7 linked regions of the Ovis aries genome follow. The protein of the gene in region 4 interacts with the protein of the main gene of each other region in a biochemical or structural test. Links are inferred from orthologs where the notes say so. Each region holds a gene or a part of one and is shown on either strand. Other genes may lie near its edges.

Region 1 (3,040 bases), on a different chromosome or scaffold from region 4:
ATAATCATCTTAGCAATGTTTTCTATATTACTTTTCAATTTAAATGGGGATCTTGGGTTGTAAAAATAAAATGAGAAAACAGCACATACAAATTCTTAATAAATGTTTATTGAATCTTTAAGTATACAAATCCTAGTGATCTGATAGCCTTGCATGGATCTTACACGCACACATGTGCGTGTGCTCAGTCGCAAGGTCATGTCTGACTTTTTGTGACCCGTGGACTACAGACCACCAGGCTCCTCTGTCCACGGGATTTTTCAGGCAAGAATATTGGAGTGGGTTGCCATTTCCTTCTCCAGGGGATCTTCCTGACCCAGGGATCGAACCCAAGTCTCCTGCATTGGCAGGCGGGTTCTTTACCTATGAGCCATCTGGGAAACCTCACCTTACACATACTAGGTACAAACCATTCTAATGTCAGGGTGAATGCACTTTAACACTTTTAACACTTTCAAGTTTAATTTCACTGACTCTGAAATAATAAAATAAAAATTCCATTTGACTTTATATTTACACTTTTATTAGAATTCTTTAGAACTGTGAACAATTGGACAACATATCAGGAAAAAACACATAGAACATCAACATCCTTTAAACTTGCACCGCTTACATATTTACACATAAAGTTACTGTATATATAAAAAATATTTTCAAGGACTCATGGGCTTGGGAATATATTCAAAAGACATTATTGCTACATTTCAATATTTACAAAAAAAAAATGCCACAAAATAATTTCAAACATTAAGCTACTGCAAAGAAACATCAGATGTAAAAAAAAAAAATTATAAAAATATAAACTTTCAAGAATATCCAAGACAAAACTCTCAGTGAAGTGCCCCTGAAGTACCTAGACATCTACAATTAACAACCACTTTTCTTACTATAACCAAAGTCAATAGAAACGCAAAGGAAATTTTCAGACAAAGTGTGGCAAACAGCAAAAACGTCTTACATTAGCAACAAAACGCCCCAACCTGTTACCTTTGGAAAGGTGCGAGAGCATAGAACTCCAGTGCAAATGGTTACTTTCAGATAAATGGCCACAGTTCTCTAAATGAAAGCAGAGAGACCTAGGAGGGGAAAACCACGAGGGCAGCATACCTGAATCTTGCGAGACAACACACAAACCCTGCCATGTACCCATGGACTCTTATAATTGGGTAGAGGCAAAACAAAACAAAAAAACAGGTAACACTAAGAATAATATCCAGGCTACAGCCTAAAGGGTAGAATTGAAATGTTTCAGTAGGAGAGTAGCATTAATAAGGTCTAAGGAACAGGTACAGTATGTTGAGTGTAAGTAACAGAGTGCCTTAAGTGCAGGTGGATTGCAAATAAATATGGACTTAAGCACGCCTCTATGTAAGCTTTTGGTAAGCTTCTCTACACAGCAAGGTGAAGTGAAACAAAAGCTGGGCTGCTGCTGAAAGCCAGGCTACTTCTTGGGTGCTGAAGGACCCTCCTGGGCTCAAGGCAAGACTACTCCCACAATATTTTGTCTACAAGCATACATACACACGCACACATACACACTTATATAGATACTGGCCAGGTGTCCAGGACATGCCTGTGATGGAGGCTGAATCTAAAGTTTATTTTTGGCTACAGAAGAATCCAAACTAAGATAGCACTGGTTGTCACTCCTGCCAGAGTCATGCAATAAATCACTTTTGCAAAAGGCATCAAATCCACTGAACACGATGACATTCTGAAGCTGGTCGGCTTGTTCTGGACAATCTCTAGAGCAAGTTCATCGGCTACAAAAGGAGATTTTTGTTAAGACTGTGCTTGGCAATAATTTTTTTTTTAAAGCACTGTTTCCTTCAAACTTGTTCTGGCTCATCAGTTATTCCTATACACAGCAGACTCAAGCCAGAATTGTATTCAGAAACTACACCTTGTGGGTTCCCCCCCCTCAATATGTGAATGTGTACAATTTATAGATGAGTATATACAAAATGTGGGCTGGGAGGCCATCTCTCCAATTCAGCTACTATTAGTGAATTTGACTTAGAAACCAGGTCAGAAGCACAAAGGCTCATGCCCAGCAGTCTTTATTCAGGAGCAGAGAGCATTTTTCCATGGCCTATGTCTTACTCCCAGCATGAAATACTAGATTTCTTGAGCCCAGATATTCATAGGCTTCTGGCCTTTGAATAACATTCTATTTCCCACATCAAAGGATAAGGTTTCAGCTTCTAGCCTTGCTGCATCATCATACCATCATGGGTGATTATGAGGAATGAAGGTGACTACTGCTATGTACTCAAAACTATCAACTACATTTTTCGGATAGAAGTTGGAGAAACCTTGGGAAGGACTCAGTGTGTCCAGTCCATCCCACCCACCCTTTCTCCAAGTCTGAAGTTTCCTCGTTAGCAGGGGCTAGTGTGCTATTAGGAACATAGGCAGCTCGATGGTAGCTGATGACAAAAATCATCGGCCACTAAAGGGTGCTCATAAAGACAGGGTGTCCACTACCCTTGAGTAGGATTCGAGTCGAAGGAAAACAAAGGAACCATTGTAAAAACCAAAAGAGAGGGGGGCCGGGGTTGTTCAGGAGACCCCTGGATGCAGACTCTGCTTCAGACATCTTCGTGGACAAGCAGAGGCTGCGTGGAGGAGGCGCTGCTGCCCACAGAGTTGATGCGCACAGAATGGTCCACCGCGGGGTTCTCCCGGTGGGGGCTGCAGTTTGCTAAGTTGGAATAAATCTGAGGAAAATAAATCCACAGTCAATACGCCAGTCCCCCACAAGGAACAAAGGGGCACATGTGCAGCTTAGGAACTGCAAATAACTTAGGAAGATTCTTACAGCCAGGAGGTTGACAAGACCTTACAGCCAAGAACTGAACCACACTGACCAAGGATAAGCTTTGTTTTATCCCTCATTTTCCCATGGTCTGATTACATAAGAAGTGATAGTCCAAAATGTGCTTTTCTGCTGGGATGCATCTAGGAATGAGAACGACCTAACTTTTTTTAAAAGGTGCATAAATTTCTATAGCCAATTCCCATCTAATGGCTGATGTCA
Region 2 (4,075 bases), on a different chromosome or scaffold from region 4:
CTCTGTGCGACCCTACAGACGGCAGCCCACCAGGCTCCCCCATCCCTGGGATTCTCCAGGCAAGAATACCAGAGTGGGTTGCCATTTCCTTCTCCAATGCATGAAAGTGAAAAGTGAAAGTGAAGTCGCTCAGTCATGTCTGACTCCCAACGACCCCATGGACTGAAGCCCACCAGGCTCCTCCATCCATGGGGTTTTCCAGGCAAGAGTACTGGAGTGGGGTGCCATTGCCTTCTCCATAGAGGTTTCTTAAGGAGTAAATGAGATGATCAGTATAAAGCTCTTAGACAACAGAGAAGCCTAACTTTACTGTTTGTTTGACTATATTTATTTTTTTAATGAGTACAATCTTATCTATTTGGCTGTGTCAGGTCTTAGTTACAGCACTCAGCCTCTCTGACTGTGGCACTCGAGCTCAGAAGTTGCAACGCATCGGCTTAGTAGCCCCGTAGGATGTGGGATCTCAATTCCCAGATCAGAGATGGAAATCTCGTCCCCTGCATTGCAAGGCAGATTCTTAACCATTGGAACACCAGGGAAGTCCCTGGGTTATATTTATTTTTATCAAGTTTATTGATATGATGAATTTCGGTGGACCATGATAGTGCAGCTTCGTCATGATTTGGGCTCTATGCAACGTGTCAGGTCCATGGATGAACTTTTTTCTTTTTCCACTTGAGACTTTATATCTGATTTGTTATGTAATCTTTGATAAACTATGATCCTTTGAGGGGGGCCTCGATAAGGTACTCCCAGTAACGTTTACTAACAGCCCTAAGAAGAACTTCCTCCAGTTTCCTTTGCTGTCTTTGCTGCGGTCTGCAGGCTTCCTGCCCGAGCTGAAAGTTCCACATGCAGAAATGCCCCAGACATGTCAGCTTTTCTGAAAGAGCCCCCATCCTTCTGGGCATGACAGTTCTCAGGCCAGGATGGATAAGACACTGGTGGGAAACGTCAAAACCAAAACCTCTGATTCCCCTTAGCAGAAATTCTCGCATTGAGAGTTATGCCACCAGAGATTAAACTGGTGGGGTGCTTTTCCACACTCTCCTTTAGTGAGAGAAATTGCCACCAATATTGCCATATGAAGTCACTGAGTGCTGTCTTTGTTGGAAGGGTGGGTGCCTAAGAAGTAACTTTTACTGTTGGAAGGAAATAAAGTCCTTTTACAAACGGAGGACTAACTTTGCATTTTTCTTTTACAAACTGAGGACTAAGATGATTTGCTTCCAGACAGTGGCAGCAGATAGGGAGGAAGTGGGGGTGACGGCAGCCAAGCCCTGGGCTCTGTTCAGACCCCCAGTGGTGTGGGGCTAGGCACGACTGACCACAACAGGCTGGGAACCTGGGGAGCCCAAGCAAGGAGCCCCTGGAGCGAGTTAATACTGGTGATTGGGTGATGTTTCGGAAGAACCTGCACCCAGGCAGGGGTGTGTCTTCCCCATGGAGAGGGCACCTATCCACGAGAACGAAGAGACCGTCAGGGTCAACCCTTCAGGCAACAAAAGCCAGTAACCTGGGAATTCCCTGGCGGTCCAGTGGTTAGGACTCTGCACGTGCACTGCAGAGGATGCAGGTTCGTTCTCTGCTCAGGGAACTAAGATCCCACAAGTTGCGCAGCTTAGCCAAAAAAAAAAAAACAAAAAAACACACACACACAAATAAGAAAAGAAAAAAAGAACCAGTAACCCAAGGGGCCCAGGCCAATCACAGCCCCAACCACTCAGGAACCCCTCACCCCCTTCCCACTCTCCACTTCATGCTGATGACAACAGAACATGCATCCACTTGGCAGAGTCAGGAGAATTCTGGATTGGGTGCAAGTGAATCACAAGCCACTTCGGGGCTGTAATCTAGACACGCTGAGGCTGCTGGGGCCCTGGAGAAAATCCAGAGTCCCAGGTTTCATCCCCAGGAAGCCTGGAGCAGGGCCTAGAAGCCAGCGTTTAACACAGTCAGGCATTTCTGCTGCCACGTTTCTGTGTCTCTCTCTAGACAGTCAAGGTTGCTCCCCAAGACTAAAACAAACTTTCCACTAACTTCCTTCTGACCCAGGCTGAATCCAAAAGGAGATGATCACGTAGGTTTGCATAAAGACAGTGTTGTTGTTTAGTTGCTAAGTAATGTCCGATCCTTTTGTGACCCCCATGGACTATATAGCCTGCCAGGCTACTCTGTCCCTGGATTTTCCAGGCAAGAATACTGTAGTGGGTTGCCATTTCCTTCTCCAGGCGATCTTTCCCACCCAGAGATCAAACCCGGGTCTCCTGCATTGGCAGGTGGGTTCTTTACCGATGAGCCACCAGGGAAGCCCATAGTAGCAACATTTTTTCTTTTACTCACAGTCCACTTCCCTGCCAGCCTGAATTAGAAGTAACCTGCCATATCCCTCTCTGCCTACAAGTGCTCACAGAGGAGCACAGGGTCACACCAACCAGTCATCCCACATCAGGCTAGTCCACACAACTCCAATTTCTTTAAATTCGTCGAAAAAGAGGAAGTTCTCTCTGTGATTCGCTGGTGGGAGGCAGGGAGGCCATCAAGACTCCTTTGCCCTCCTCCCCGATTTCATTCAAGAGAATGTGGGGCTATTTAAACAAGCTGTTCTTTGGGGCATTTTTCTTTCTGTCACATCCGAGGCTCACTTACCATTTTGAAGCTTGAATCTCCAAACCAAAACGTCATGTGGAAAAATAGTTTTCTTGTGTTCCTTTTCTCTCTTTCAGTTCAAAAGGCTGCACTGGATTGTGAAAGACTGAGAAAACCAAATGGTAAGTTTCATTTACTTCTCTGTTGTATTAAAGCCACTTTCACCGAAACGGTGAGACCGTCAGCTTCAGTCATGCGCTGTCGCGAGCAGGGTTTTCTGTGCTTTTTGTTGAGCAGCCAAAGAGGAGAGTTTTTCCACTTTGTACTGTTTAAAATGAAGTGATATTAGGGAGGGAGTCAGAGAATCTTTCCTGAAACTAAGAAACAAAATGTTGAGATTGTTTTTTAAAAAAAAACAATGAAACGGTTCTTTCTTTTTCTGTTGTTTTTTAATTAGAAAATCAATACACTATCGTTGTAAAATAATTCAGGCGACACTAAAAACATATCCTGGGAGACAGTTTATCATCATAGAGCCAGGTTGTTGTGGTCCTAACCTTGTTTCTACCCTTTTCCACCTGGTAGTCTGGGCGCATGACGAAAACCACTTTAAGCTTAATTTCTATCCTCTGTGAAGCGGGGGAAATAAAGGCACCTCCCTGGGAGTGCTGTTGTGAAGACTGAGACAAGCCCTGTCCCTCAGCACAGAGCCGAGTGCATGGGGGAGCCATCAGTAAATGCCAGCCCAGGTCGTTGTTGTTATTATACTGTAAATGGTGAATGTTCTGCTATAAACAGATCCCCTCAGTCCCTCTCCCATCTCTGTGTCCAGGAGCAAACACTAGTAACAGTCCTTTTCGCTCCAATATCAAAGCAAACAAACTCTTCTGTGGCCTGTTCTTTTTAAAATTAACACGTCCCAGACATCTTTCTAAGAGGAAGTTGTAGGTTTCGCTCCCTTCTTCTCAACAGTTGCATGGCATTTCACAATAGGACTTAGTCATAATTCATCGAACCATCATTCCCGTATTGGTTGTTCCATTTTATTCCTTATAGAAACAATACTGCCGTAAACATCCTCTGTGGACACATGAGCGTGTGAGAGTTCACGTAGGATAAAATCCTAGAAGTGAAATGGCTGGGTCGAAGGCCATGTCCGTTTGAATTGTTACAGCTGATGCTAAGTTGCCCTCCTAACACACTGAACTGGTGCATGTTCACCAACGCTGATCACGGACATGGGTTGAGTGTGAGTTTCTCACCCTCTCTCTGGCAGTGGATACAATCAATTTTTTAAATTTGTGTCAGTCTCATGAGTACAGAAATAATATCTGAATGTTGTTTGAGTCCGCGGTTGCCTCATCACTCATAAAGCTGTGCTTCTTTCTCATGTTTGTTGACTATGGAAGCCCTAGCATGCCCATATAAAGGACATTTAGGGATGGCAATCTGGCTGGAAAGAGAGGTGAGGTCTTATCTTGAATCT
Region 3 (3,500 bases), on a different chromosome or scaffold from region 4:
GATAAATGTCAGAAACGTTAGATTGAATGAAAGGAGCCAGGCATGGAAGAGTACATTCTTGTGTGATTCCATATATAGAATTCCTAGAAGTCACCTGTGATGATGGAAAGCAGAGTTGTGTGGTTACCTGTTGGGGAAGAAGTGTAGAGATTACTGAAGGGTGCAGGAGGAAATTTCTCTGGTCTGTTGCACGTGTTCTGTATCTTGGTGGGTGTGGTGGTTACCTTGTGGAAAGGCGTATTTGGTGACACTCCTTGATGGATTGAATCACCTATCTTTATCTAGCCGCATCAGCTCCATTTCAAGTGATCTTTGATTTATAGTAAAATTTCCCTTTTCTTAGCATTTGAGAAATCAAGGATTAGTGTGGTTGTGTATGGAACCATTGGGAATGCTAAGTGTCACACTAACACACGCAGATTGCGTCTGAATGTGAGATTCACACACAGCGACTTCTCACGTAAGTGAGCTTTACTTCTGTTTGGCGTGCAAAGGAAAGACCCATATTCTGTATATGCAGATTGAGTTTATTTTTAAAATAATGTTTTTGGTTTAAAACTGTCATTTTAAAAGTAATTTCAAAGTACAGTTTCTTTTCTCATTTAAGATTGTTGTGGAATCATTTTGTCTCCTGTTTTTTAAAAGATTTGTTCCATCAGATGAAAAGAAGAAGCAAGGCTGCCAACGAGAAAATGAAACTCTAATTCAGAGAAGAAAAGACCAGATGCAACCGGGGGGCACTGCCATTAGTGTCACAGTTCCTTACAGAGTAGTCGACCAGCCCCTTAAGCTCATGCCTCAGGACTGGTGAGTTAACTGACGCTTTTGCATAGTCCTTCATTTGTTGTGTAATTAACAGATAGCAAATTTTATCATGAATTCGAGATACTGAATTCTATCCTTAAAACCTGTGTTAGTATCTGATTTAGTCCTCAATAATATTAACGTTCTAGTATTAAGTAAATATAATTTGGACGTCTATAACAAGAAGCACAAACTTGTGGAAAACAGTGAAAAGTTTTCCCACTTGTCCACTTATTCTGGATCAGCTTTTGGAACAAAACTTTCAAGTAGACTAATGTTTTAGAGAGCCTATATTTTAGATTTTTGGTTTGGAGAATTCTAATTTTCCTTGGTAAAGAAATGGTAAGTGAAAGCATTGTTACTTTCATTGTGAGGGGATAATTTAATGAAAATAATAACCTCATCATCCCAGTTCAGCTCTTTTATTGAATTAAAATATCCTTTAATAAAATATTGAGCTATTTATAATATAAAGTGCCTATATATTCAGATACATGAATTACCTTAAATTATTTCATTAATCTAAGCCAGAATAAAAATACATAGTCCGAGTGTGCATTTCTCTGATACAGAGAGTGTAACACATTGACTCATTACCCGAAATTTACCTTTGACGTACTCATTAGTCTTCAGATATTAGAAAATCAAGCCAGTGAGAATACTAGTATGTTAAAGACTTTGGTGAAGACTCAAGGGCTGTCGTATTGGAATTCTGTCCTAGTACCTAGCAGAGACACTTTGAGTTACATATGCAGTGTAAGACGAGCATTTCAGGTTGTCTAAACTTTGCAGGAAGTGGAAAGGCGTGCCATGTGTACATTTGCACAGATTTGCAGGGCGCAGTCATGCAGGGCGCAAGTGCCGGCACTGTGCATTGCGCTGCCTTTGTATATTAGCTTGGGCCCTGGCCATCAGTGTCAGCCTAGGGAAGGATTTTCCTTACCTTTCTTCTTCTCTTCTCGTTAATTGTCCTAAAGGGGAATTCACCGGGAGTCGTATTTTTATTATCCTGCTTCCCTGCTGACCCTGTGAGACACAGAAGGATCTGGGTGACCTCTGTCTGACAAATTCCCTTTTGTTTGGCAGGCACCTTTGTCCTTCAACTAGTGTGTGCTGCAAGTTACATCATAAAATTGAGAGGCTATTTAATAGTGTGCTCCATTCCCAAAGATGGTTTAGGTAGTGTGGAGCATATATCCTATGAAATTTTTAATTTAAGATTTAATTTTAACCATAAGAGCTTTTGAGCTGTTAAGAATTTTAAGCTGTGGCTTTTCACAGTAACTATGTTGTTGTAGGTCTTTAACTTGAAGGTAACCTTGGCTTAATACTCTCTTGGATGCGTAATCTAATGCAGTGATTATCACAGTATGGTCTGTGGTCCTCTGGGCATTCCCAGGGCCCTTTAAGGGAGTCATGAGGTCAAAACTGTTTTCCAGTATAACAGTGAGTTGGCTGTTGTCATGATTTATCAGTCCCCATATAGGACGGTAGCATGACCAGTCATTGGTTCTCCCCTCTCTCTGTTCACACCCTCCTTTTCTCCACGCTCTTGCTCCCTCCCCGCTTCCTGCCTCCTGGTCTCCAACATACTCTGCTGTTCTATAAAATAGGGGTAATAGGTTACCTCACAGGATTATTTTGAAGTTTAAATGTATAGACGTGAGTAGGCTGTGTAGACCAGCACTGGCACATAGTGAATGCTTGTAGTAAATCTTACAATGTTGGTTATTATTGTTAATGTTACTATTTTGTTTCCATTTCTTTAGTTGTAGGCTTAAACTGTTTATGGTAGTTGTTTTTATTGTAATTTCTCAAGTTAATTAATATTTTGTAAAGAAATGTAAGGCCCCAGAAAGAGATTTGTGCTTTTTTCGGAAAAGGAAGTTAAATGTCTGGGAAAAACTAGTTGCTTTAGTGCGCGCGCACACACCACACCAAGTAGAGAATTCAGAGTGAGTGAAATAGTTGTAAAACAATTGAAAAAGTTTAGGTGGTTTCTATACTCAGGTTATTTTCCAGATAATCAGAACTCAAACTAAGGTGTTGGAGCTTTAGTGAGTAGTGAATTCAAAATAGTGAAATACTGTAATTTATGATATTTTTAATTAAACATTTAAGATGTGTTTGAATTGTAAATGATTTTAAAACTAACTTTTTCAATTAACAGATACACTATTGTTCCCTATTACATTAGAAAAATAGGCCCACTAATTAACAGATCGGGCAGAGATAAAAGGCTGAAAGGATCTCATGTAAGGACTGTGCATGTAATTATGTTTAAATGACTTAGGTGTTAAAAACAATATATGGGGAGTATAGCAGTCGTTAACACACTCTATTGCTGTAACATAAAGAAAATGGTGGACGTGCAGCACTGTGTTTCCCCTCACAGACGTGTGGACAGGAGACTCCACTGCAGGAGTGATGGTGAGACTCTTTCCCTAAGGGTTGTAGTAACTGAGAATGCCTGAGCCACTCAGTTTCCGCTCTCCCCTTCCTCTTCTCCACTAACAGGGACCGGGTTGTAGCAGTTTTTGTGCAGGGTCCTGCGTGGCAGTTCAAAGGTTGGCCTTGGCTTTTGCCTGATGGATCACCAGTTGACATATTTGCTAAAAGTAAGATTCTCTTTATTTTTACTGCCTATCTAATGTAGAAATGTTTTTGCTCTATTATTTAAGAGAAAGAGCCATCTA
Region 4 (4,144 bases):
TAGGCTACAGTCCATGGGGTCGCAAAGAGTTGGACACGACTGAGCGACTTCACCTGACTTCAAACTCTGAAACCACCCAAATGTCTACCAACAACTGGATGGAAAAATGAAGGGTGGTACAGGCATACAGTGGAATATCACTGATCAATAAAAAGGAACTATTTACCATACACAACAACATAGATGAACCTCAATATAATTCTGCTGAGCATAAGAAGCCACACACAAAAGTCCACTTGTATAAAATCCTAGGAAATGCAAACTAACATATAGTGACAGAAAGCAGAAGAGTGTCTGCCTGGCAACAAGGAAGGGATTATAAAGGGTTCCGGGAGCCATCACAGGAGTGACGGATATATTCATTATCTTGATTGTATTGCTGGTTTCTTGAGTGTATAAGTGTGGAAACTTATCAAATTGTATGCTTAAATATATGGAATTTGTGGCATGTCACTTATACCTCAATAAAGCTGGTTTAAAAATAATAAAAGACCTATGATCTGAAAACTAATAATAAATAATCCCCAACTGTGTGCACTGTTGTTGTTGTTATTTAGTTGCTAAATCATCTCTGACTCTTTTGCAACTCCATGGACTGCAGACAGCCAGGCGCCTCTGTCCATAGGATTTCCCAGGCAAGAATACTGGACAGGGTTGCCATTTCCTTCTCCAAGGAATCTTCTCCACCCAGGGATCCAATCTGAGTCTTCTGCATTGGCAGGTGAATTCTTAACCACTGAGCCACCTGGGAAGTCGTGCATTACAATCATTTGTGTGTGTGTGTGTGTGTGCATTACAATCATAATCTGACTTCTTAGGGGGCACATATTTCTCTTCCAAAACAAGTATGGGAGAGCCGGAAGAGGAGAGGAGGAATTACTTCATTTCAAACTGTCATCTTTACCACTTGCTGCTTTGGCTCTTCTCACACTTCCTGGCTTCTAAATTAACAAGCTGGACAATGTAGGGTCTATTACTACCCAGCCCCTACCCCACCCCCAGTCCCCAGACTTTTTGTCTCCTAAAAGAAGCAGATCCTTACTTGTCTGGAAAAGCAGACACAAGGAACAAAAGGCTCAATGACTATTTGACAGATTAAAGAATAGAAAACTGTTTTATTTAAACGCTCTCTAAAGAATTAGAACATCTGAGGCTATACGCTGTTCTGCTGAAATGCAATTATATATTACCCAGATCTGTAAGCACTTGCCAGAAGACCTGTCCAAATCACTCACTGCTTGAGTTTTCAGTTTTCTCCTTTCACTCTTTTCATCCCATCAATGAATAATGTGCAGGTGTATTTCTGAGAAGACATTCCTAATGTTTTGAAGTTTCTCAGTCAATAACCCCAACAGCTTGAAACAGTTTTCCAAATGTCTAAGACAGTGTGAATTCTATACAGAATGACAATACAATAGCAGGATCATTATCTGAAAACAATCAATCATACTAATATTTAACAACAAAATTAAGGCTTACAAATGATTGGCAATAGTTATAATAGCAATTAACAGTGGGGTTCTGTCTCCACCACTTACTGATTGAGTGACCTTAGGCAAGAGTCGGACACGACTGAGCGACCAACACTAGCACTAGAACTACTAGGCAAGTTGCTTAACTTCTGAAATTCATTTACTCTCTTTAGAGCGGGATAACAGTACCTACCTGATAGGGTTATAAGGATTAAATGTGTTTGGCATACGGTAAGAGCTAAATAAATGTTAGCAATTAGTAGTATAGTCTACTATACTACTTTCCAAGGATCTCATTAACTCACTCATCTTCCTTCTGACTTCTAGGTTCAAACCCTGTCATTTACCAGTATGTTTCTTCTGAGCCTCAGTTTCCACATCCGTAAAACGGAGGTAATTAATGTTACCTGACTTTTAAGGTTGTGGTGAAGGATTAAAATAACTAGAGATACGATCCCTTCCCTCCCACCTCCCAAAGCGAAGATCGCAGAGGAAGGAAATACTTCTAATAGCTGCAGATATAGTCAGTTTTTCCATTTCTGGCACGTGAGGGGTGGGGGGGGGGGGGAGAAGAAGATGCAAAGAGGCATACAAAGTGGTCAAGGACCCTGAGTAAAGCCCCCAAATGCGCGCAAAACGCAGAGTGACCCAAAAAGGCTCGACTATCGGCCTGGCCTCGCGCAACTCTCTCCTCTCCCCTCCCGCGTCCCGGGCCGAGGAGCCTCCCCTAAGTGAGCGGGGTTATTTCGGAATCACCATGAGGCAATTCTCATGAGGCAATGGGTCAGGAATGCGGCGCGCCGAGCCGAGCCGCTAGCGTCCGCGGTTCCCCGGGCGGCTCTACCTGTCCCCGTCCTGACGGGCATCCCCAGGGCTGCGGGAGCCGGAACTCCGTGGAGGCAGGAAATGAATGAGGACCCGAGGGGTTGGGGGCGCGCTAGGGCCGGGCCCCGGGGCCCTGGAGGGCTTAGGGGGCTGGAACGGAGCCTGCCCCGCGACCCCGGGCAGGAGTCCGAAGCCCAGCCGAGCCGCCCCCTCCCGGGCGGAGCTGACTGAAAGCGGCGGGGGCCGGGCCGAGGCCCGGGCTAGGCCCTCGGGGCTCCTCACCTCCGCGATGTCATGTTCCTCCCGCCCTCCGGCTCCGCGACGAACCGGCTCCTTACTCAGGCTCCACTGGGCCCGGTCACATCGGGCTGGCCCGAGGGAGGCCCGCTCCGGACCGGACGTGGGGGGGGCGGGCAGAGCCAGCCGGCCGCGCGCAGACCCCCCTCAAGGCCTGAGGAGCCCGGAGACTGTGCAGCCGCCCCCCAAGCCCGGTTCGCTCCTCCTCCTCCTCCTCCTCCTCCCCCGCCCTTCCCCGCCGGCTCCTCCGTGACGTCACTCCCACGCGACGCCCGCCGCTACTTCCTGCTTCCATTCTGCGCTGAGGCTGGTCATGGCAGTTCAGTGGATCTGTGGAGCCTCTGCCGCGCTGTTCCCAAAGGACCTTCTCATTCTCCTTTAGATCCTGGCGTTAAACCGTGCGTTGTGTGCTCAAAGTTACACGCAGTCGCGTGAATTGATTCTAGCTGCTCCCACAGCGTCAATTTCCATCCCTGCGCTGTGAAGTCGAATTTCATTCATTTCATTCCTCAAATAGTTGTTCCACTTACTGCTGTGTAACCTTAGGAAAGAGGTTGGGATCGCAAAGAGTCGGACACGACTGAGCGACTGAACTGAACCTTAGGAAAGTTGATTTCTCTGAGCCTCCATCCTTGATTTCTGTAAAAAGAATAGTAATTGTATTTTCTTCTTAGGATTATGAGGACGATTAAATATGTAAAATGTTTAGAACTAGGCCTGGTCTGTTTAATAAGTTCTCGGTAAAAAATCCGCCTGCAGTGCAGGAGACCCTGGTTCGATACTTGGGTCGGGAAGATCCCCTGAAGAAGGGAAAGGCTACCCACTCCAGTATTCTGGCCAGGAGAATGCCAAGAATTGTATAGTCCATGGGGTTGCAAAGAGTCGGACACGACTGAGCGACTTTTACTCACTCTCTCCTGTAGTTATTGGGGCTTCCCTGGTGGCTCAGATGGTAAAGAATCTGCCTGCAATGCAGGAAATCCCAGTTCAATCCCTAGGTCGGGAGTATCCCTTGGAGAAGGGAATAGCTACCCAATCCAGTATTCTTGCCAGTAGAATTCCATAGAGAAGCCTGTGATGCTATCGTCCATGGAGTCACAAAGAGTTGGACACAACTGAGCAACTAACACTTTGACTTTTTCACTTTTTTTGTGTGTCATTATTAGCTCTATTATCATTAGAAGGAAACGTGAGCGTTTTCTGTCTGCTAGGCACTGATTTTCCACTATAGAGATAAAAGTGAACTGAAAAGACAAAAATCCCCGATATTCTCATGGGAGGAGCTACAGTAATCGATAATAAATAAAACAATTGAGATAATACCCCCAATACTCATCTCCCTTCTTTTCTCCATTGCCCTTTATATTACTTTAAATGGGGGTATTTAGGGAAAGCTTCACTAAGGATGATATTTGAGTCAAGGAGCAGTCTAGTAGTGAAGTTGCTCAGTTGTGTCTGACTCTTTGCCACCCATGGACTGTAGCCTACCAGGCTCCTCCACCCATGGAATTTTCCAGGCAAGAGTACTGGAGTGGGTTGCCGTTTCCTTC
Region 5 (4,018 bases), on a different chromosome or scaffold from region 4:
TCAAAGAGTCCAGGAAGAGAGATGAAAAGAAACAGGTAGGTATAACTGCTTCTTTTCTTCCACATGCTCACTGCACATTGTTGTTCAGGATGCAGGGATCAACCTGGGAGGAAGAAAAGAAAGAGTATTTTAGTTTGGGTAAGAAAAAACACAACAATCCAGTCTGGCAATCCCAAGAAATTAACTTCCTATAAAAGGCTTAGGACAAATGTAGTGGTAAATGACAATTCTCACCTCAGAGTAAGTAGGTGGTGGCATGAACCTGAACTCAGGAGCATACATAAAAATAGGGCTGTCTTGAGAACCATCTGTGTCATCTAGCAGAGGAGTAGTGGGGCTCTCCAACCGGTGATCTTCAGCAATGCTATCCATATAGCAAGGAGGAGCTAGAGAGAGAAAGCATGGAGATAAGAAGCCCAGCCAAGAAAAGCCTAACCACAATTTTACAAACCCACCCAGGCCAGAGGGAAAAAAATGAGATCAGGTGTCTGGCTCACCTTCTGGGGTATCTGGGATGTTCAGGTCTACCCAACTCATCTCGGAGCTGGTTTGGCTGGCCATGCTGGACGTCCGGCTGCTGAGGCCTGACCTGCTGCCAATAACCAGGGGCAGGTCAAGAATGACTTTCTTGGAGCCAGGGACGCTAACGTAGATCTAGAAAGGAAGACATCAGTTTGTTAGGCTAGAAATCTGGAGAAACACCACTATCGTTTAGACCAATGAACAATTTCTTTCTCCAACCCCATCCACCCACTCACCAGTAAGGAGTATTCAACTCGCAGGATATTGCAGCCCAAGATAGAAGGCCTGATCTTCTGCACTCGAAGGCTCTTGCCACGCCATGATGCACAGGTTCCGGAGATAATATGATTGCCTCTGACTGATGATAACTTCTGCGTCAGCACCTTGGTCTGGCCATTGGCAAGATAAGTGTGGCGGGCCACAATGGCAGCTTTGGGGATCACAATGCGGGAACACGTATTCTCAAAATCAGCATGGATGTTAATCTCATCACCTGGCAATGAGAAAGATGAAAACTGATGCTCAGTGCAATCCATGACTTTTAATCTGTCCCTGCCTCCTGCCCTTACTCCCAAACCCACAGTTCCTGTTTTAAGGGTCTCTCATTTTCTGCACTAGATTTTTACCTTCACAGAATCCTTTTCTGTCAATTCGTGCAGAGACAGACACCCGCCCATCAGGTATGAACATGCAGGAAACTTTCTTCTCCTTTTTAGCTGACACAGGTTCCTATATAGAATGAAGTGGAAAAAGACGTTTTGAGAATTTCTAGAGATCCTTTCTCTGCTTCTCTTTCCACTGCTTAAAGTAGGTAGTTTTCTCTCCCACCTTGATGACTTAAGGACTTGATTCCCTGACGGGCTTCACTTTAATGCCCTAAAAACCTAACTACTTATCTCTGAAACCCAGAAGAAGAGACTTTTAAAATGAATCTCACCAGTAAATCAGGAGTATTGACATCCACTAGATCCATCACTTCAAAGTTTTTCTTTGTCTCTTGAGTTGGCTGGCTGGGACGATCAAGAAAAGCCTTCACCCAATAGTCCACACACCCATATTTTCCTTTGAAAGATGTTCCCAGAGGCCTTTATCAAGAAAAAGGAAACAATTTTAAAATGCTCTCCAAGAAGAGTAACTGATCAAAAGAGGGAAAGATTTTTACAGACAGATAAGATCACAGATGCATTTAGTTACCTACCCCTGAGGAAGCTCAAAGCCGAACTTGTATTCATATTTGTTTCCAGGTCTCATGATCACCATCTCATTCTCACCTGAAGGAAGAGAAAAAGGAGAAGCTTCTAGGTTTCTTGTTATACTTAAAATGCCTCTATGCAATAAGGAATTCTTGGGCAGCGTGCAAGAGTAATGCAGAACCCCTTATGTTCTTAAATGAGATTCTGATGCATTCGCTGAGCAAAAAGTTGCAAAGCCCTGCAGTGCTGAAAGACTCAACCTATCATCATCTCAAACAAGAAGCAAGCAAAGAACAAGCAATTTATTAAGACATAAAAACCTTTCAATAGCTATGTCAACATCCCTCAGAATCACCCACAGAACACAGCACCCTGAGAAGTTGCACAAATCACCCTTTTTTGGGGGTGGGGGTAGGGGTTAGCAAGTTAAAGCTAAAAAAGATAAAGAAGCCACACAAAATTCAAACCCCACAACCCGAGCAATTTAGGATCTACAGTGTGGGCTTTATCCGTATCAATTCTCTTCTTGAATCCGCTCTCACCCTCCAGCAAACAGTTGGGTCACTTACCAGCTGGTTGGTCGTCCAGGAGAAGCGTGTCTTCGTAGCGTAAGTAGTCCAACGTCTGCTTGCACTGCTGGGATCCCTGCATCCACAGGACTTTGGCCACTCCGCAAGCCAGGATCCTGACAGCTTTGACTCGAGTGACTTCACACACTTCCACTATCACCCGGCCAGCCACCTTCTCCCCACTGCCGTACACCTTTTCGGGGTCGTTAAAAACTACCTCGAAAGACTTGATCTTCTTGAACATCACCATGTTGGGCTGGGTCTGCTTAAGAGTTAAAAATGAGGACAAAACAAAACTCTCAATCAAAGGACCTTTTGCTGTAAGTTAAAACTTTTTCACTTTTCAGTTCTCTACTGAATTTTCGAAAACACGTCCACCCAAAAATGTAAGCCGCGAGTTGTATCAAGAGATTGCAAAAGAAAAATAAGCTCTTTCTTTCTAACAGCTGGAGGACAGCTCCGGATCTCGGCGGGAAGGCTTAACGCGTTCCACCTCAGAAAACGAAACGATAGTTTGCAACTGAGAGCCGGAAACTGGTTTATATAGTAGCCCGGCAGGCAGGTCCACGCGAACGCTGGCCTGGAGGCTCGTGCTCCCCTCGTGCACAGCTCTCCCATTGGCTGCCCGCTCCTTGTTTACCAGGAGCCCTACCAATCAGCGAGGTCGCAGCAGCGCGTGGACACAGTGTGCTCCTGGCGGGGAAAACGGTTGTTGTGCATCGCTGCGGGGCTGGGAGGAGGGGGCGGAGGGGCTATGGGGCGGCTTCCCGTGTGCCCAAGGAAGGAATGCTTCACTGACCCCAAAATCTATCCGAGGCCAGTGGTCTTCGAAGGGCGGGTGTGGATGCTTTTGGAGTGGTAGCTATTATTTTGAGGTAAAAGGAAAATGTGCTTATGATGGAATTCCATGCCTAACCTCAGCCAATGTAATTAATTTAGAGGTGACTGTTTATTCCCGGCTCACAAATCGCAAGTCGTGTGAAAAACAATCCCAGAGCTCCAAGAATACTTGAGGATGGGGCGGAGGACAGGGAGTGCAGTCGTTACTGTTGAGGAAGATCCGCTTTGTCCTTCTCTTGCCCCGCATCTCTCAAAAATCAACAAACAACCCCCTGCTCCTCCCCGCTCCCCCCATAAAAAATCCCGGCTGTGTGGGAAGGAAAAGAGAACTTGTCACAAATTTTTAACCTCTCTTCAGCGGTCACAGCAAAGTGAATATATGGGACTGATTAGCCATCCCCCACTCCCTTTCTAGCCCCCTGGGCTGGAGGCTGGGGGCTCCGGTCCGTGTGCCTCTGCCCCTGCGTCCTCCACTCGGTTCTCTCTGTTCTCTGGACTGGTACAGTACGGGCGTATCCACATCCTGCCACTTATCCCGTCATCTCTTCAGTCCCTGATCTGCAGAGTTAGGGAACACTTTATTTATGGTCTCTCAGTTACCTCATTACCTCTTCGTTAAAGTGTGTTCTTTGGGCTCTGAGTATCTCACTCCCTGCTTCTCCAGGAAAGTAATTAAAAAAAAAAAAAAAAAAAGGCTTCACTCTAGTCATCTTTTTCCTGAGTTATTTTAACTGTCTCGTCTTCCTCCCCCTTCCAACTTACTAAATCAGAGGTACACCTCTAAATCTGCTGCCCACACTCCTCACAGCCTTCAAATTAGTTAAAAGCAGGAAAGTTGTCAATCGTCAGAGGGAAAGTGTCAGGGAAAGATGGCCGTATTTCTGTTTGAGGGAA
Region 6 (4,244 bases), on a different chromosome or scaffold from region 4:
TCCCAGAGCCTCCCCCAGGGGCCCTGGGACATGTCTGAGCTGAAAGGAAGAAAAGAGTACTGTGTCCCCTTCTTTGTTGAGGAAAATGTTGCTCCCCGCCCCCCGCCCCTGTCACCACCTCCTGGAAGCCTCCCAAGGTCTCCTACAGCTCCCACTGCTAACCCATCACACACTGCTCAGCTCAAGATCAAAGCCCGTAGAACATCATAGGTACTCAACACAGGGCCATGGATGCTTGTATCTCGGCAGGTTTGGGAAAATGGGGTCAGTTGAGGTTCAGGGAATGGGTGGTTGGTCACAGGCCACTGAGCCGTCTCCTTCCTGGCTCCTGGGGTTTGAGGGAGCCAGACAACCTCCCCCCACCCACCACCCCACCACTCCCAGGTCAGGTCACAATCAGGGTAGAAGCCAAAGCAGGAACTGGCTATGCACTGGGGATACTTCACGCCTGGGAAGAGGCTAGGGGAGAGGAGGAGAAAGCTGGGAGGCCTTCCTGGAAGAGGTGGGCCTTAAACGAAGCCTTAAAGAGCAAAAGCAGACAAGCAGCTCTTAGAGGAGAGGGCACTCCCGGCAGGGAAACCCTCAGGAGCAAAGGCCCTGGAGTCACACAGGAGGGCCTAGGCAGGCAGTCAGCTGAGAGGTGACACACTGTAAATCATTTCCTTGGGTGGAAAGACCACATCACCACAGCACACCACCTCACCCAAAGGGCCTCGTGGCATCCACACAATCACTCATCCGAGTCTCTTCCAACACTGTCGTGTGCCTGGTCCCATACTGAGAAACACCCATTCCTCCATCACGGGAAGGGAACAAGGACAGCCCGACCGGGCACTCTGAGCTCTAGGCTCTCATTCCAGCTTCAAACTATGTGGCTCGGTCAAGTCACTTCCGCTCTCAGAGCCTCAGTTTCTTCCCCAGCAAAAAGGGGATACACAAAAGTCCCTACCTCCTAGGAGGTACTCGATAGATGTTAGCAGCTATCATTCTCACAAGCCCATTTTATACTGAACAAACCTGAGGCCAGAAGGAGAAGCGAGTTGTCTCAAGTGCTGGGTGGCAAGACTGCACTGAGGCTGGTTCCTCCTCAAGGGGTTAGGAGGTGGCTTTGGGGACACCGATCCACCCTCTTCTGGAATAAGCCCCACAAGAGCCAGCCATCTCATCTCATGCCCATCTTTTTCAGGCCATTCATCCAGTGCCATGCTCATTTATTGAACACCTACTACATGCCAAGGCCCTACCTGCAGAAGTGCCTACAGGTTTCCCCTGGGGATCCCCACCGCACACAAGCAGACTCAGAGGGGCGGTCCTTTGGCCCAGGTAGCCCAGTGTGACCAGAAGCCGAGGTCTTGTCTCTCCAGCCAGAAAGCCAAGATGAGGGTCAGCAACAGCGTCAGCCTGCTCCATTCTTAAAATCAAGTCTGATCTCAGCTGACTGAAGCCAGGCCTGGAGTCACCCCAGGTGATCCAGAGACCACTGCCCCAACTGGACAGAGTCCCTGAAGCCGGGGACACCTCACCCAGGGCCCCACAGGCTCTGCCGACTCTCAAGTCCGCCTGAAGGCCCCAGAGGTTGAACTGCTACCCCACAGGTGAGCCCCTTCTGTTCACCCAGTCCTTCCACCAGCCCAGTAGGCTCAGCCAGGCCCACAGCTGGACCTGACAAGGGCCCCCAGCTCAGAGAGGGCAGGCAGTTGCTCAAGGAAGCACAGCAGGGCAGGAAAGCGGAGCCCCCACTGGGACTCAAACCCACCACCAACCCCAGCCCAGGCAGGCAGATGGACCCGGCCTGGGGGCCAAATCTTAAACTTTTGCCAACTTCTGAGCAGACCGGAGGTAGGGCCTGCCCAGAGAGGAGGCTGGGGGCTGTGGGCAGCTGGGACCAACCACAGTTTGGCCCAGTCCTTTCCAGGCCGGCAGCACCAGGCCCTACCCAAGGCCCCACGAGGACAAGGAGATCCTGGTGTTCTGGCCCGGCACCCCCTGCCCGGCGCCCCCCCAGGCCCACCCTGCCGGCCCTTCTCCACCTCCCATCCCGGGCTGGGGGCGCCAGGCTGGGTAGCGGCGGCCAGAGGCGGCGCCGACTGGTTCAGATTTCAGATTTGGCCTAGACCTGGCCTGGGGGCTCGGGCCCGGCTCGCTGCTCTCAGGGGGCCCGCAGAGGGAGCATGAGCGGGAGGGGGGGGTCCTCGCGAGGACAAGACCCCTACGCCCCCCACCAAACCCCTCCCCCCCCCCCGCGGCATCACAACAAAAGGCCGCGCCAGACAAGTCCCGGTGCGCCCGCCCTGCGCCCCGGGATCGCCGCTTGGCTCGAGGGGTGAGGTTTGGAGGGGGGCAGGAGCCCCCGCGGCCCAGCGATCGGACGCCAGGGTGGTCCCCGGGCGGGGGGCTCCCTCACGCGGGCCGGGAGCCGGGGCCGGCGGAGGGGCGGGGGGCGCTCACCTGGACCGGCAGGCAGACGGACGCACCGGGCAGACAGACGCACTGGAGGACGGACCGCCGGACGGCCAGGGGTTCGGGCACACGGCGGCCTGGCCGCTCCGGCTCCCGGGCCGGAATGGATTCCGGGCCAGGAGAGACAGATCGAGAGAGAAAGGGAGGCGGAGGAGGAGGAGGAGGCGGCGGCCCGGGGAGGGGAAGAGGAGGGAGGGAGCGCGCGAGCAGGGAGGAGGGGCCCGGCAGGCCGCCGGGAGGGGGAGGAAGAAGGAAGCGTGCCGGGACGGGTCCCCGCCGGTGACCTGGGAGAGTCCCGCGCGCGGCCTCCCCACGCCCGGGGTCCCGGCGGCCAGGGAATGGAAGGGCGGGGGCTCCGGCCACGGAAGCCCCGCCCCCTACCCCGCCCTGAGAGTGCTCCCTTCCCATGGGGCACCCACCCATCAGCTCTCAAGCCAAAATACCCTCCCCAACTCCTCCCAACCCACCCACCCAACTGACCCCAAGTCTACCTCTCATGAAATTATTACTGATAATCAGTAACAGCAGCACTGATGGAGAACTCATTCCTTACCCGGTGCCATGCTAAGCTGTTCAGGTCAACTTTAGGATCTATTCCTACCAACCAAGTGGGCTGGGCAGGCCAATGATCACCCCCATTTTACAGATGAAGAAACTGAGGCACAGAGAAGGGACTCACCTGACAAAAGCCAGGTCTTGGACCCTGGCCTTAACCTGAATTTCCCAAACTGGGGACTGAGACAGGCAGGACAGTGTGGTAAGGAGCAGCATTTTTATCTTAATAGCTATGCATTCATTTTAAAGTGCATCAGAAGAAAAAAAAAAAGTAACTAAGAAGCCAATAAGTTCCAGATAAGGAACTTATAAAGGGCTTCCAGTAAGCCCCTTGCTGCTGCTGCTGCTAGGTTGCTTCAGTCGTGTCCGACTCTGTGCGACCCCACAGACGGCAGCCCACCAGGCTCCACCACCATCACTGGGACTCTCCAGGCGAGAACACTGGAGTGGGTTGCCATTTCCTTCTCCAATGCATGAAAGGGAAAAGTGAAAGTGAAGTCACTCAGTTGTGTCCGACTCTTAGCGACCCCTTGGGCTGCAGCCTACCAGGCTCCTCCGCCCATGGGATTTTCCAGGCAAGAGTACTGGAGTGGGGTGCCATTGCCTTCTCTGAGTAAGCCCCTTAGGAGGGGCCAAAGCAGGTATTCAGTGGCAATTATAGTCAGTGGTAAAGAACCTGCCTGCCAGGGCAGGAGACGTGGGTTCGATCCCTGGCTCGGGAAGATCCCCTAGAGAAGGGAATGGCAACCCACTCCAGTATTCTTGCCTGGAAAATTCCACGAACAGAGGAGCCTGGTGGCAGGTTTCAGTTCATGGGATTGCAAAGAGTCAAACGCAACTGAGCACATGTGCTAGTCCTGCCTTTGGCTTTTCACAGGTCCTCCTGGGATTACTGCACAGGGGAAGGTGGGCCTGAATCCAGCTTTAAATGCCACCATCTGCCTCTGTTTTCCTTCTCTGAAAGTTTTCCCATTTCACAGATGGGAAAGTAAAGCCCAGTCCAGGTCAAATGGTAGAAGCCTGGACTTCTCCTGAGAGGAGCAGGGAGGGAAACTCAAGACTGTGGGAGGCAAGGGCCTCAGGGTACAGTACAGTACCTGGGAGACCAGGAATGAGCAAGGCCTTAAGCTGGACTGATCTGGGTTCAAATCTAGACTGGTTGCCCAGCTGCTGTACCTTCTACGAGTCCATCACCTTCCCCAGCCCAGGTCCCCTCGCCTATGAAACGG
Region 7 (4,216 bases), on a different chromosome or scaffold from region 4:
TCAATTTGGCTGCAAAGTATAGTAGTTAAGGGCATGAACTCTGAAACCAGTCTGTGTGGGTCAAGTCCTAGCATTAGTAGCAGCCGTATGGGCCTAGGAAACTTATTTAACCTCTTTGTGCTTTTATTTTCTGGACTATAAAATAGTAATACAGCCTGAAATTGTTGTAAGGATAAAATCTGTTGAAATATGTAAATCACTTAGTACAATATCAGATACATAGGAAGTATAATTGACATACATATATGTGTGTGTGTAATACACATAAAATATATCTATAAATATATGTATAATATAAATATATATTCTTAAATGTGTATATGTACATATACATGTATGTATAATAATTTATAATTTAGAAGCACTTTGTGACTTGGCAAGGTGACAGAAATAATCCTAGATTGTCTTTCAGTGTAACTTTTGCATTGGAGTCAAGAATGAACCAGCTGTTTGGTAAAAAGACTCTAACAAAACAATAAGGAGAAAAATCAGTGACTCTGTGTGTATACTTCAAGAACACATTTTTGCCTTCTAGCAGGACTGGGCCAATACCATGAAACATGCTCTCCAGCAGACATTCTGAAAGGGAGACCTCAGGGAACTGGGGATTTTATGTGACATCACCAAGGAGTGAAGGAGGAGAAATAGTGGCAAAATTGGGGACAAATTTTTAATTTGCACTCCCATCCCCCAAAATGAATATTAAATCTTCGTGATCATCATATTCATTCTTGAGTACTGTAGGCTTAGTCTTTATTGCCATCCATATGTTGAAGCCCTAGGCTCCCATGTGATTATACTTGGAGATAGGGCTTTTAGGAGATAATTAAGGTTAAATGAGGTCATAGGTTGGGGTCCTAATCTAACAGAATTGGTGGTCTTATAAGAAGAGGGCTTCCCAGGTGGCTCAGTGGTAAAGAATCCACCTGCCAATGCAGGAAACGTTCCATCTCTGGGTTGGGAAGATTCTCCAGGGAAGATCCCCTGGAGAAGGAAATGACAACCCACTCCAGTATTCTTGTCTGAGAAATGCCATGGACAGAGGAGCCTAGTGGGGTCACATGGGGTTCATGGGGTCACAAAGAGTCAGACACGACTTAGTAACTAAAAAACAGCAGCATAATGAGAGGGATAGAGGGGCTTCCCTGCTGGCTCAGTGGTAAAGAATCTGCCTGCCAATGCAGGGGACACAGGTTTGATCCCTGATAGGGGAGAATCCTACATGCCACAGAGCAGCTAAGGGTGTGCACAGCGACTAAGCCTTGCTCTAGAGCCTTTGCTCTGCAACAAGAGAGGCCACCTCAGTGAGAATCCCGGGCACCACAACTAGGGGGTAGCCCTCACTTACCACAACTAGAAAAAAGCCTGTGCAGCAACGAAGACCCAGCACAGCCAAAGATAAATAAATAAAATTTTAAAAAGAAAAAAAGAAGGATAGAACTCTCTCTCTCTTTCTGTGTGCACCCACCAAAGAAAGTCTTTGTGAGAACAGAGCAAAGGAGGTGGTCATGTGCAAGCCAGGAAGAGGGCCCTCATTAGGAATTTAATGGGTCCACACCTTGATCTTGGCTTTCCCAGCCTCCAGAATTGTGAGAGATAAATTTTTGATGTTGAGATCATAGTCTATAGCTTTTTGTCATGGCAGCCTGAGCAGACTAAGACAGGTTGAAACAGGAAGCATGCCCGAATGGTCTCTGATGATGGAGGTTTAGAGCTGGGACTCATAGAGCAGCATGAGGAGCCCCCTGTCACCGGGGCAGCCATTCCTGGTCACAGAGCTTCCCAGACAGGGATGATCTATAGGCTCATGGAGAAATAAAACAAAGGCTCAGCATGGATTGGATTGTTGCCTACTGTTCATTTAGTATTTACGTTTCCTGGTTGAGTCCATTTGTCACTGTCCAATACACAGTGACACCAAGCTCTTTTTGGCCTCCTTCTGGCTAGCCCATTCCCATGGGACTTTGGCTCCAACCAAGTGTAGCCGGAGTAGTAGGGTTTGTTTCACCTGGCAAGAAATAGAACAGCTTTATGCAGAACAAACTGCAAATGGCCTATTTCTCAGAAAGGGGCTGTGGGCTTAAAAGGCACTTACGAGATTCAAGGGTTTCTTCTTAGTGTAGAGCCTGGACCTTTCTATAACAGAGCTTGAACATCCCATCCTATAATACTTGTACCAGTTTTCTGGGACTGCTGTAAAAAGCAGCATAAACTGAGTGGCTTTAAACCAACATGAATTTATTCTCGACATGAATCAGCCATAGGTATACATATGTCCCCTCCCTCTTGAACTTCCCTCCCATCTCCCTCCCCATCCCACCCCTCTAGGTTGATACAGACCCCTGTTTGAGTTCCCTCATGTCGAGGTTTGACAGAGAACAACAGAATTCTGTAAAGCAATTATCCTTCAATTAAAAAACAAATAAATTAGAAAAAACATTTATTCTCTCACCGTTCTGGAGGCCAGAAGTCTGAAATCAAGGTATCAGCAGGACTATACTCCCTTTGAAGGATCTCAGGAAGAATTTCTGTTTCTTCAAACTTTTGGTGATCTCAGGCATTCCTTGGCCTGTGGCAGCGTAACTCTAGCCTCTGCCCGCCGTCATTTCAACATGGATTTCTCTGTGTATATTTCTTGTGTCCTATTGTATTCTCATGAAAACCCCAGTCACCACTATTATCTAGCCCAAAAACCTCATCTTAATTAATTATATCTTCAAAGATCCTATTTCCGTATAAGGACACGTTCTGAAGTTCTGGGTAGGTATGATGTTTTTTGGAGGGGGAAGCTATTAAATCCACTGTGTTGCTTTAGCTAAGATTCTTTAGTTGCAAATTACAGAAAAATGCTTGAGCCATAATATGTTAAAAAAAAAAAAGGATTTTATCTGTAGGACACAGGAGTGTTTTACAGAAGCAATAAAATAGTCAGGCCTCAGCAGGAAGATCCCAGAGCTGTGCAGCTATCAGAAGTATTAACCTGTGCCTTCTCATCACAGTTTCTCCCTTCCTATCAGCCTTATTCTCTCTCTAGACAAGAGAAAGACTCTCTACTTCTCCATACTCTCAGCAGGCAGCCTATGGCCAACCTAGTACTCCAGAGTTGATATTTCTGTTCAGATGACCATTTCTAATTGGATAATCTTGGTCCCAATTCTAAATTCTCAGAAGAGAGAATCTAATGGGTCCATCTAGGATTCGGTGTTCAATCCTGATCCAATCAGTTGTAGGTAGTGGGTGGAATGATGCGACAAGTCCAACATGAGGAGTGGAATCATCCTGCTGGATGGTTGGGTGATGCTTTCGAACTGTGGTGCTGGAGAAGACTCTCGAGAGTCCCTTGGACAGCAAGGAAAGCAAACCAGTCAATCGTAATGGAAATCAGTCCTGAATATTCATTGGAAGGACTGAGGCTGAACTGAAGCTCCAATACTTTGGCCACCTGATGTGAAGAGCCGACTCATTGGAAAAGACCCTGAAATGCTGGGAAAGATTGAGGGCAGGAGAAGAAGGGGGCAAGAGAGGGCGAGATAGTTGGATGGCACCATCGACTGAATGGACATGAGTTTGAGCAAACTCCAAGAGATAGTGAAGGACAGGGAAGTCTGGCATGTTGCAGTCCATGGGGTTACAAAGAGTTGGATGTGACTGAGTGATTGAACAATGACAAAGAGAAAGAAACGTCTTTGTGAGCTGGTAGAAAGCACAGAAAAAGTCTGTACTTATCTTATGCTTCATAGCATTTAACAGCATACAAAGTGTTTTCATGTATACTCAAATCCGATTTGTGCAAGTTCATCTGAAATAGGCATAACTGGCATTCTGCCCACTTTACAGATGTAGAAGCTGACACAGACAGATGAGATGACTAGAGCATAGAGATGGTCAGTGTCAAAGACCAGACACAACATTATGTTGTCTGACTCCTGGCCTGACTCTTCATCTCACCACACAAGACAAATATGTAACTGACTTTGTAGTTTTTATTGCAACCAAATACCACTTATGCATAGTTATTATCCAAGTTTACAAATGTAGTTTCAAAAGTAAAAATTTAATAGTCTGATGTTCACAGTCATTCTACCCTTGCTTTGTTCATCCAAAGTTTTCCCGACTTCTCATTTTCCTTCTTCTTTTTCCAGTCCACAGTCTCTTCACAATTCTAACCCCCTCCACATTATTATTCTCTGAAAGGTTTCACTAGGATTTATATACT

Evidence for each region.
Region 1: the proteins of PTPN11 (region 4) and KIT form a complex in vitro, tested with the Homo sapiens proteins (3 studies listed by BioGRID and IntAct, with this or other methods). The link is inferred for Ovis aries from reciprocal best matches to the Homo sapiens genes PTPN11 and KIT.
Region 2: the proteins of PTPN11 (region 4) and PECAM1 form a complex in vitro, tested with the Homo sapiens proteins (4 studies listed by BioGRID, with this or other methods). The link is inferred for Ovis aries from reciprocal best matches to the Homo sapiens genes PTPN11 and PECAM1.
Region 3: of the proteins of PTPN11 (region 4) and CDC73, one has a biochemical effect on the other in vitro, tested with the Homo sapiens proteins (2 studies listed by BioGRID and IntAct). The link is inferred for Ovis aries from reciprocal best matches to the Homo sapiens genes PTPN11 and CDC73.
Region 5: the proteins of PTPN11 (region 4) and TXNIP are reported together in a solved structure, tested with the Homo sapiens proteins (2 studies listed by BioGRID, with this or other methods). The link is inferred for Ovis aries from reciprocal best matches to the Homo sapiens genes PTPN11 and TXNIP.
Region 6: of the proteins of PTPN11 (region 4) and SRC, one has a biochemical effect on the other in vitro, tested with the Homo sapiens proteins (2 studies listed by BioGRID and IntAct). The link is inferred for Ovis aries from reciprocal best matches to the Homo sapiens genes PTPN11 and SRC.
Region 7: the proteins of PTPN11 (region 4) and FRS2 interact in a test that uses a peptide from one of them, tested with the Homo sapiens proteins (2 studies listed by BioGRID, with this or other methods). The link is inferred for Ovis aries from reciprocal best matches to the Homo sapiens genes PTPN11 and FRS2.

What each region holds. Positions count from the first base shown.
Region 1 is NC_056059.1:70,945,231-70,948,270, reverse strand, and holds the end of KIT (mast/stem cell growth factor receptor Kit), read right to left. Parts: intron 2,721-3,040; coding exon 2,592-2,720; 3' UTR 501-2,591; downstream 1-500. UniProt on the Homo sapiens protein: Tyrosine-protein kinase that acts as a cell-surface receptor for the cytokine KITLG/SCF and plays an essential role in the regulation of cell survival and proliferation, hematopoiesis, stem cell maintenance, gametogenesis, mast cell development, migration and function, and in melanogenesis.
Region 2 is NC_056064.1:48,348,768-48,352,842, forward strand, and holds the start of PECAM1 (platelet endothelial cell adhesion molecule), read right to left. Parts: upstream 2,801-4,075; 5' UTR 2,772-2,800; coding exon of another isoform or gene 2,684-2,771; 5' UTR 2,650-2,683; exon of another isoform or gene 2,571-2,649; intron 1-2,570. Other genes in the region: MILR1 (allergin-1), read left to right, coding at 2,684-2,771. UniProt on the Homo sapiens protein: Cell adhesion molecule which is required for leukocyte transendothelial migration (TEM) under most inflammatory conditions.
Region 3 is NC_056065.1:11,241,798-11,245,297, reverse strand, and holds part of CDC73 (parafibromin), read left to right. Parts: intron 1-645; coding exon 646-807; intron 808-3,321; coding exon 3,322-3,422; intron 3,423-3,500.
Region 4 is NC_056070.1:61,963,578-61,967,721, forward strand, and holds the start of PTPN11 (tyrosine-protein phosphatase non-receptor type 11), read right to left. Parts: upstream 2,801-4,144; 5' UTR 2,594-2,800; coding exon 2,580-2,593; intron 1-2,579. UniProt on the Homo sapiens protein: Acts downstream of various receptor and cytoplasmic protein tyrosine kinases to participate in the signal transduction from the cell surface to the nucleus. Positively regulates MAPK signal transduction pathway. Dephosphorylates GAB1, ARHGAP35 and EGFR.
Region 5 is NC_056054.1:99,309,471-99,313,488, forward strand, and holds the start of TXNIP (thioredoxin-interacting protein), read right to left. Parts: upstream 2,801-4,018; 5' UTR 2,535-2,800; coding exon 2,285-2,534; intron 1,794-2,284; coding exon 1,721-1,793; intron 1,608-1,720; coding exon 1,460-1,607; intron 1,252-1,459; coding exon 1,149-1,251; intron 1,016-1,148; coding exon 759-1,015; intron 655-758; coding exon 498-654; intron 387-497; coding exon 181-386; 3' UTR 104-180; coding exon of another isoform or gene 68-103; 3' UTR 1-67. UniProt on the Homo sapiens protein: May act as an oxidative stress mediator by inhibiting thioredoxin activity or by limiting its bioavailability.
Region 6 is NC_056066.1:66,271,750-66,275,993, reverse strand, and holds the start of SRC (proto-oncogene tyrosine-protein kinase Src), read right to left. Parts: upstream 2,801-4,244; 5' UTR 2,449-2,800; intron 1-2,448. UniProt on the Homo sapiens protein: Non-receptor protein tyrosine kinase which is activated following engagement of many different classes of cellular receptors including immune response receptors, integrins and other adhesion receptors, receptor protein tyrosine kinases, G protein-coupled receptors as well as cytokine receptors.
Region 7 is NC_056056.1:150,335,485-150,339,700, forward strand, and holds the start of FRS2 (fibroblast growth factor receptor substrate 2), read right to left. Parts: upstream 2,801-4,216; 5' UTR 2,453-2,800; intron 1-2,452. UniProt on the Homo sapiens protein: Adapter protein that links activated FGR and NGF receptors to downstream signaling pathways.